Linked DNA regions of Mus musculus. The protein of the gene in region 2 purifies or fractionates together with the protein of the main gene of each other region. This does not show direct contact. Links are inferred from orthologs where the notes say so. Each region holds a gene or a part of one and is shown on either strand. Other genes may lie near its edges.

The links. The genes of interacting proteins can lie anywhere in the genome.
Region 1: the proteins of Cacybp (region 2) and Otud5 purify together in Homo sapiens (affinity purification with mass spectrometry; 4 studies listed by BioGRID and IntAct, with this or other methods). This does not show direct contact. The link is inferred for Mus musculus from reciprocal best matches to the Homo sapiens genes CACYBP and OTUD5.

The regions. Positions count from the first base shown.
Region 1 is NC_000086.7:7,872,817-7,877,174, forward strand, and holds the end of Otud5 (OTU domain-containing protein 5), read left to right. Parts: intron 1-737; coding exon 738-939; intron 940-1,023; coding exon 1,024-1,137; intron 1,138-1,413; coding exon of another isoform or gene 1,414-1,416; coding exon 1,417-1,538; 3' UTR 1,539-3,810; downstream 3,811-4,358. UniProt on the Homo sapiens protein: Deubiquitinating enzyme that functions as a negative regulator of the innate immune system. Has peptidase activity towards 'Lys-48'- and 'Lys-63'-linked polyubiquitin chains. Can also cleave 'Lys-11'-linked ubiquitin chains (in vitro).
Region 2 is NC_000067.6:160,210,048-160,214,035, reverse strand, and holds the start of Cacybp (calcyclin-binding protein), read left to right. Parts: upstream 1-1,143; 5' UTR 1,144-1,368; coding exon 1,369-1,389; intron 1,390-3,988. UniProt on the Homo sapiens protein: May be involved in calcium-dependent ubiquitination and subsequent proteasomal degradation of target proteins. Probably serves as a molecular bridge in ubiquitin E3 complexes. Participates in the ubiquitin-mediated degradation of beta-catenin (CTNNB1).

The sequences.
Region 1 (4,358 bases), on a different chromosome or scaffold from region 2:
GCCAAAGTACCTATCCTTAGGCTACTCACAGTTTTACTAAGTGAAATAAAATGCTCATAATGAATAAATTAGTTGGAGGTATGGTGGATGAAAAATGGACACTTGGTACAGGGGACAATTGAGACTGAGTGGAGATGGTCTGAGTTCACGGTATTAAACAGTCGTCGGGGTAGGCCTCAGCAGATGAGGTGGGGGCAGCCTATAAAAAGGGGATTTGGTAGCTGGGGGTGAGGGCAGTGGAGTTGGTATAACTCAGAGTCTGTAGCTGAACAGAACGAGGGTGAGATCAGGGTAGTGGGGCTAGGTTGGATGGTGACTTGTGAATTCTGGAGAGGACTTTGATTTTGCTCTCAATGAGACAGAAACCATGGGGGGTGGGCTGTAAACACAAAAAGGATTCGAGTTAGGACTTGACAGGATCACCCTGACCGATTATAGAGCAAATCTGAGGGAGAAAGCAGGGTTGAAGTATGAGATCAGTGAGGAGGAGGCTCCCAAGGGAGTCCCAGTGACAGGTGAGGGTACTACAGGCGTGCTATGGAATCACAATCTCTTAAAAGAATAGGACTTTGTCAGATGCCTGCAAGGATATGAGGCTAGTTAAGAATCTCCCAGTAGTCCACCGTGATACATTAAAGCTGTGCTATAGCCAGGATTCTGGAAAGGGTATAATCACTCTGGCACAGGAGGGTCATAGCTGGTGTAGGTCCTTATCACTTTTTCCTTCCCTACTGCAGCCCCGGAAAGCCAGTGCCACATGCAGTTCAGCCACAGCAGCAGCCTCCAGTGGCCTGGAGGAATGGACTAGTCGGTCCCCACGGCAACGAAGTTCAGCCTCGTCACCTGAGCACCCTGAACTGCATGCCGAGCTAGGCATTAAGCCCCCTTCCCCAGGCACTGTGTTAGCTCTTGCCAAACCTCCTTCACCCTGTGCACCAGGTCAGTGGCTTGCTTTCAGGGTGCCTGCTTGGGCTAAGAGGCTCTGCTTGCTGGGCCCTACCTCTGATTGTCCATCTGCCTCAGGTACAAGCAGTCAGTTCTCAGCAGGGGGTGATCGGGCCACCTCTCCTCTTGTGTCCCTCTACCCTGCTCTGGAGTGCCGGGCCCTCATCCAGCAGATGTCCCCCTCTGCCTTTGGTAAGCCTCCTTAGGGGATGGGCCAGCTGGAAGTTGGGAGAGCCCGGAGGATTTTTTGAAGCCCCTGGCCATCTCTCCCAAATCAGAGGCATGAGGGAAAATTTCAGGCCCCAAAGATTTTCTCCACAGTGGGTCTAGTGGGGCTTCACAGAGTTGAGGGAGTCAATGAGTGATTGGGACCTGAACGGACTTTTCCAGAGCCAGGGATCAGACAGAAATCAGGGAAAGTGACCTGAGGCCCCCCATCATCGTTGTCCTCTTCTCTCTCCTGCCCAGCAGGTCTGAATGATTGGGACGATGATGAGATCCTAGCATCGGTGCTGGCAGTGTCCCAACAGGAATACCTAGACAGTATGAAGAAAAACAAAGTGCACAGAGAGCCACCCCCAGACAAGAGTTGATGGACACCCAGGGACTGGACATCATTCCCGATCCCCCACTCCTGCCCTTTGATGCCACCCAAACTTCTTTGGCTTTCTTCCCTCTTGGCTTCCTTCTTTTGTTTCCTCTTTTCCTTTTTTTTTTCCACTTCCCTCTGGCCGGCCCACCCATGCGCTCCATCCATCTCATCCCTGCCACCACCATTGGTCTCTGCCAGCTGAAGTGCCCTATTGCCCCCGCACAGCACCATCTCAGCATTCCACAGGGGACTCTGGAAAGGGTGCGGAAGGTAGGCAAGAGGCCCACAGAGACAGACCATCTGGCAGCCAGGCAGCCCCAGAAGAGAGACATTCAGACAAAGGAAGTCTTCTGCTCACCCTTCCTTAAAGATCAGATAAACTTGTCATCCCTTCCCAGCAATGATGACAGGAAAATGGAAGTGGCAAGTTTTCCTTCTAGTATCCGAAGAATCTGAGCCTTCAATGTTAAAATTTTTCTTAATTAAAATGTGCTTTATTTCACAAAATCAACAAATCAAAAAGAATATTCATGGCAACGTTGGTCCTTTGAGGGTGGCATCTCTGGTTTGGAGCTAGGCAGGCTGGCCATGGGACAGAAAGGGCAGAAAAAAGATGGATTTCTGCTGTCTTTTGGCCCCTAGTTCCTTGGAAGGGCAAAGGCTATGAGGTAGAGGGAGGTGACAGGCATTGCAGGTGGCAGACTGACTTTGGACAGTGAGACCCTGACCTTGCTGCATTGCTTTGCCTTCACCACCGCTAGTCTGTTTGGAAGGCTTGAGGTGGGGTGTCTTGGGAAATTAGGGCCACTACCCAAGATTTGAATTTAGGGAGTGGGAGCAGCCTCAGCAGATGGGGCACCCGTGCACTGCAGGTGTTGACAAGATCCACCATCTGTAATGTCCTTGGCACAATAAAACCAAATGTCAGTTTCCCTGAGCAACTCTATTCTGTGTGGGACACGGGTGGATGGGCCTCTGGGAAGCACAGGATTTGCTTTGACCAGAGGTCTGCTTGTTCTCCAGTAGGTGCTCTCTGTAAGCTGGGGTTCATATTTGATCTTCTGTTTATTAAATTAACTTCTTGTCTTGAGACTGATGGCAGAGAATCTCTAGAGCCCAGGTGGGTTAAGACTAACCTAACCCACATAACCAAGATTGTTTCTTAAAAGAACAAAACCAACAACAACTCTACAACTGGTCGTGGTCATGCCTTTGATCCCAGCACTGAGGAGGGCAGAGGCAGAGGTGGATCTTTTGAGTTGCAGGCCAGCTGGGCTATACAGCAAGACGCTTTTATTAAAAATCATAAACTTCAGAACCAAATCGACTGAAACTGAAGTCCCTACTCCCACCTACCATATTTGCATTAGGGAGCCTAGGGCTAATTTAAAGGACTGTATGAGCCAGAGGCCAAGACTGGTGTCTGAATTTCTACTCTCAACCTTAATGCTCATTCATTCTTGTGATAATCTGATGAAATAAGCAATCACTAATGAGTTCAGTGACCAGAGGTGGCCCTTGCCCAACTGGGTTTTAAACGTTGGAGGATGAAATGGCTAAATCCTTTTTTTGTTGTTTGTTCCTCAGGTCTGTTGACACCTCTGTCCATACCCCTGCTAGGGTTTGTAAAGCCCAGCTAGAGAAGGCTGGCTGGCCCTCAGGTTTCCTCAGAGCAGTCTTCTCCCACTCCCCAATGCCTCAGTGAGGTCCTTTCAGAAGAAGGCTGTGTAGGGTGGCCCTACGGTGAGGGTATGGCTTGCCCAGTGGGTGGCTACAGGATATCTGAAATACGTGGTCAAGCATGAGCACGCCAAGAGGGTTGATTCATTTCAAATCTACCTGCCTTGTCTCACTGTGTGGCTTTGGGCTCTCTTTGACTTTAAAGTGTCCCATCTGCAACTACAGGGGTCATTAATGTCTGCTACCTCATGCTCTCTGATTTGTGAGTATTGACAGAGAATGTGTATGGTCAATAATGTACTACTGGGAACAGTACCTGGTACACTCTTAGAGCACAAATGTTGGGGTTCTTACCAGACTTTAGGGGTGGGGGTATTACCGTATTTTGTAAGTTTGTACCATTTGGCCTCAGCCTGACTCTTGCTACTCTTGGCTTTTACTTGCAATTTGCCCTAACCCTATCTTCAGCAAGACAAAGGGATCACCTGAAAAAACCCTGTGTGATCCCATTGGCACTCTCCCTTCTGTCTACGACTATTCCGAAGAACTGTACTATAAATAAACTTCTGGGCTGGGGCTGTGATGCTTACTTATCTTGTTTGTGTGTGTCTTAAGATCTCCCCTCCACTAAAGCCTGTCAGGATCATAGGGAGACACCTAGGGATGCTGGCTGAGTAAGGGACATTATGTGTTACCTTTTCTGCTTTGCGTGTATTGTCTGTGCCTGTGACTACATTGAGTCTTGAGTCAACCAGTTTCTCTGAATTCCAGTGTCTCTGGTTGAGTGTGGATGTGTCTGTTTCCGATGAGGCTTGTTTCCAGGTGTATCAGATGGTGACTGAGTGTGGGACTCTGCCTATGACAGTTTGTGTCTGGTATCCGAGAGAAAGAAATGCATGTTTGCGTGGGTCTCTCAGTGACAGTACATCTGTAGTTTGTCTGGATACTTTCAGTGATAAGCTGCGTGTCTGATAGTGTGTGATTGGGTCCGGCTTTTGTTGATTTGCTTATCTATGTGGTGATTTAGAGCCCAAGGATGACTACGTACCTGCTTTGGAGCAGTGCGTGTATGTGTGGAACAACTGTATATTCTTGTGACAGACTCTGGGTCTCTCATTTCTGGGGCAGCACAAATATTTCT
Region 2 (3,988 bases):
AAAATCTTCTCCATACTTTAGAAGTAGCCATGTCCTCCTCCTTTTTATTTCACCTTTTCATAAACTTCAAAGGGTGGCACCTTTCTGTCATTGTCCACTCCAGAAAAGGATTGTTTTTATTTTTATCACTATAGGCCATGGGACTGGTGGTTTGAGACTTTTATTTAAGTTGCAACTATACACGACATACATCCCTGTCTAACTTGTCATTTTGTGCAAGTTTGTGTGAGAAGTTCGTACAGGTTGCATGCCTTAATGTTACATTAATATAAAGTGTAGTGTAGCAGCATTTTCCTTGACTTGCTGATGCTAGTAACTCCCCTAAGCATCTGTAAGCTGACAGCAGATTGCTCTACCTCCCAATGGGTACTGTTTGTTTTCTGTCTCGGTTTACTGGGTGTTATGGACGTCTCTATGCTGTCATAATTAAGATAATTTGAAAAACGGTTTTACGCTGGGGGTTTACTAATCCGGGCTGCTGCAACCCAAAGTCCTAAGAATTCCTCCACATTTTACGTGGAAATTCACTCAATCCAAACCCTGCTGAAAATACAAAATAAACCGCTAGTAAAGAGCGAAGGCAGTGGAAAACTTCGTATCAAGAGCTCATATAGGCAAGGGAGAATGGAGCGTTCGGCCACTTGAAACCGTGCCGCTTTCCACCACGGCGCCCAGAGCCAGTCAGGAAGCCCGTGCAACCTTCCTACAGTCCCACGAGATGGCGCCACGTCAACGGTGCTAGACGCAGGACGCCTCCAGAAACCCAAGGCCCACTTAAAGCCATTGTTCTACTTAGGAGCCTTCCTCCCTTAACAAATCCGTCCTTTTTTGATGGTAGTTGTGCTTCTTTGGGGGCGCTCCTTTGTTCTTTCCCGATACCTCAGAGCTGCCGAAGACAAGATGGCGGCCTGGCAACTCCGCATCGCACCAGCGGAAGCAGCCCTTCTCGAGACACTTCCTATCGGGTCCCCAAACCTTTGAAGGTTAGTTCCGGGGCTAGGTCTGGCCGCGGTTGCGAGCTGCGACTGCGCAGCCCGGTTCTGCCGGCGCGGAACGACGTCTCAATCGCTGGGGCGGAAGGAAGTGGCTGGACGCCTCCTGAGCATTCGATCGCTCGCGAGAATTGAGCGTTGCTAGGCAACCAGCCTGGGGGCGGGACTAGACTCGGAGGGGCGGGGCCTTGGGAGGCTCCGGTGGAGCCTTGCGAAGGTTCCAGAGCCGTCTCGTGCGGAGGGCGGGCCGCCGTGTCGCGCCGGGTCTGTGGAGCTCGCTGCCGGCGCTGCGACGCTCGTGGGTGGCGTGTTCGGCTTTTCCTGTCTGCTTCGGTGCACCGCTGCAGCTCCGGCCTCGGGTCTGACGCGCGACGGCATGGCTTCCGTTTTGGAAGAGGTAGGGGTCGGCCTGGACCCACCGGCTCGCGCCGCCGGGCGGCGGCTGCTTTCCCGGGGCTGATGTCCTCGGCTCTGCCCCCGTCGCGGGCCCGCGGCCTCTACGCCGCCGCCTGCCTGGGCCTGAGTGTCCCGGCCGCGGCTGGAAGGTCGGGGGTGTGTCTGGATCCCAATTTTTGGCGCGGTTCGTGGTAGGCTCGCGGGTGGCGGTCCCCTCTCTCCATTGCCTGAGGTCTTCTCGGCTCCCGGTTCCTGGCCAGGGATCAGAAACCTTCCTGCAAAGCTCTGAGCTCCGGGCCGGGGGCCATGGGAAGGAATTCCCATGCCCGCATGACTAGTCATGGTCACCGCTTTCATTTTATAGGTGGTTATACATACATTCTCTGTATTATTTCTAAACGCCCTGGACAGTGCTTATGGTTTCAGTTTTTATTTAGCAGTGCCAGTGGCGGACCTGCAGGCCTTACACACGCTAGGCAAGCTCTCTACCGTTCCGGTATACCCCCAGTCTTTATGTATAAAAGCAATTTTTAAAAAGTTACTGGGAATTGAGCAGTAGGTACGACTAGGAAATTGCCTGGCGTGTGTTTTTAGATTTGTAAAAAATGAATGTGAATGACTTGACTTTTTGGATCCTCGAGGTCTCCATAGCAAGAGTAATTGAATTGCCGGGTTTTGGCCAATACAGGTTTTATGTGATTGACATATTGTTTTCACAGAAACATTGGCTGTTAAGATTTGCTTTTCGGAAACTTCTCCCTCACTTAGAAATCATGGGCTTTAAACACATAAAAATTAGGAAGTTAAAGTATTCATCTGGGTATCTTGCGACAAGATAGGCAGGCACCACGTGCTCACTGGGAGAGTGGAGAGGGTGGCTTAACAGTTGTGCAGCATTAATTGTCTCCAAAAGAGAAGGGACTTTAGACTTGGAGCTATGCATATAGGGGCATGTTTTTCTTCTGAGATTAAAATTCACCTTATTCAATCATATTAAGATGTGAAATTCAACTTTTTCTGTCGTACAACCATCAGTGTTACCTAGTTGCAGACTATTTTCGTTTCCTTAAATAGAAATCCATTGTAGGTGCTCCATCTACTTAGGCTGGAGCCTTAGGATTTTCTAGTTCAGTCGTGGTATCAGTATGGCATTCCTTTGGGTGGTTGAATACTGTCCCATTGTACAGATGGAATTCCTACTCTTCTGTTTCTCCATCTTGCCGATTGTGATTTCTTGTAAACAAGTTTTGTTTTGTGGGCATGTTTTTAGTCCGTGTAATTGCCAAATAATAGGGAAAGTCTTAGGAAGCTACCGTTTCCACAAGAATTGCACAAAAGGTGCCATTTCTCCACACATTCACTAACATTTGTTATTTTATTGGGTGGTTTTTGTTCATATGCTAACATCCACATGAGGGTGTAGTACCACCTCATGCATTGGCTATGCATCTTCATAGCTGTGTGCATCTATTTGTGTGTGTACCTGGTGTCCAATTCCATGTCTTTGTGGAGGAGAGTTGGGTTCTTCCATTTTGAGCAGTTGGGTGGGAGTAGGTCTCACTGAGTACCCCTCACTTGGTCTTTGAGATACACTTGCCTCCAGAGTGGCAGAACTAAAGGCATGTGCCACCAGGCCAGACCGAGCCCCTATTTAACAACTGGGAAACAGATTCAAAGGGAGATAAATGTTTATGTATAGAAAACAAATGCATGCCAAGAAGGCAAGAAAAAGTGGACAGGAAACTGTTCTATCTAATCCCAGTCAGAACCTACACTGTCAGTGGTTTCTGGGCTGTGAATACAAAAATCAAGCAATGGTTCTCCTGTAGGTCGCATCAGTTGGTATCTTACTAAAGAGTCCATTAGAGCGAAAACTGGGAGGGCCTGGGAATTCTGCCATGAGTCAGCTCAAAAAAAAGATTCCCATTCCAGTTTAAAGCAAAACCTTTTCCTTTCTCCGTTTGTTAAGTAAAGCTCTGTCCTAGGAATAAGTACTTGCTTTGCTTTTAATATTTTTTTTTATTATGCTGATATTTAGAATCTGTGGTAAAGTCCCACCAACCCACTTTCACCAACAGTGGTACTTGATAATCCATATGAATTTTGAAACCACTGAAAAACTTTGAATGAAATATCTTGATTCTAAATTCAAAAGATGAGTGACAGTTTTGCAGTTTTGGATCTTAGAGTCAAGTTTCCTTGGGATTGTAGACCGGAGTTTCACTGTTGTGCTTTTTATAAACTGTTAGGAAATCATAATATAATGGCCACAGAGTAATGAGCTATTTGAGCTATTTTTTTTTTTTTACTATCTAATATCTAGCATTTAAAATATTTTAAAATTATTTTTTATTTCTTGAAATTATAATAAATATAAATATAATAAATCATTTCCCTCTTCCTCCCTCCAATCCCTGCCATTTGCACTCTTTCAATTTCATAGTTTCTCTGTCTCATTTTTTTTTCATTGTTGCATACATAGTCTGTGTGATGTTACTAGTAGGTAAGCTCAGGGCTGACCGTTTGGTACTGGGCTCTTCTGGGGAAGACTTTCTCCTGCCCTCAGCCTCTCTTTGGAGCCTGTTCTTGTGTAGAGTAGT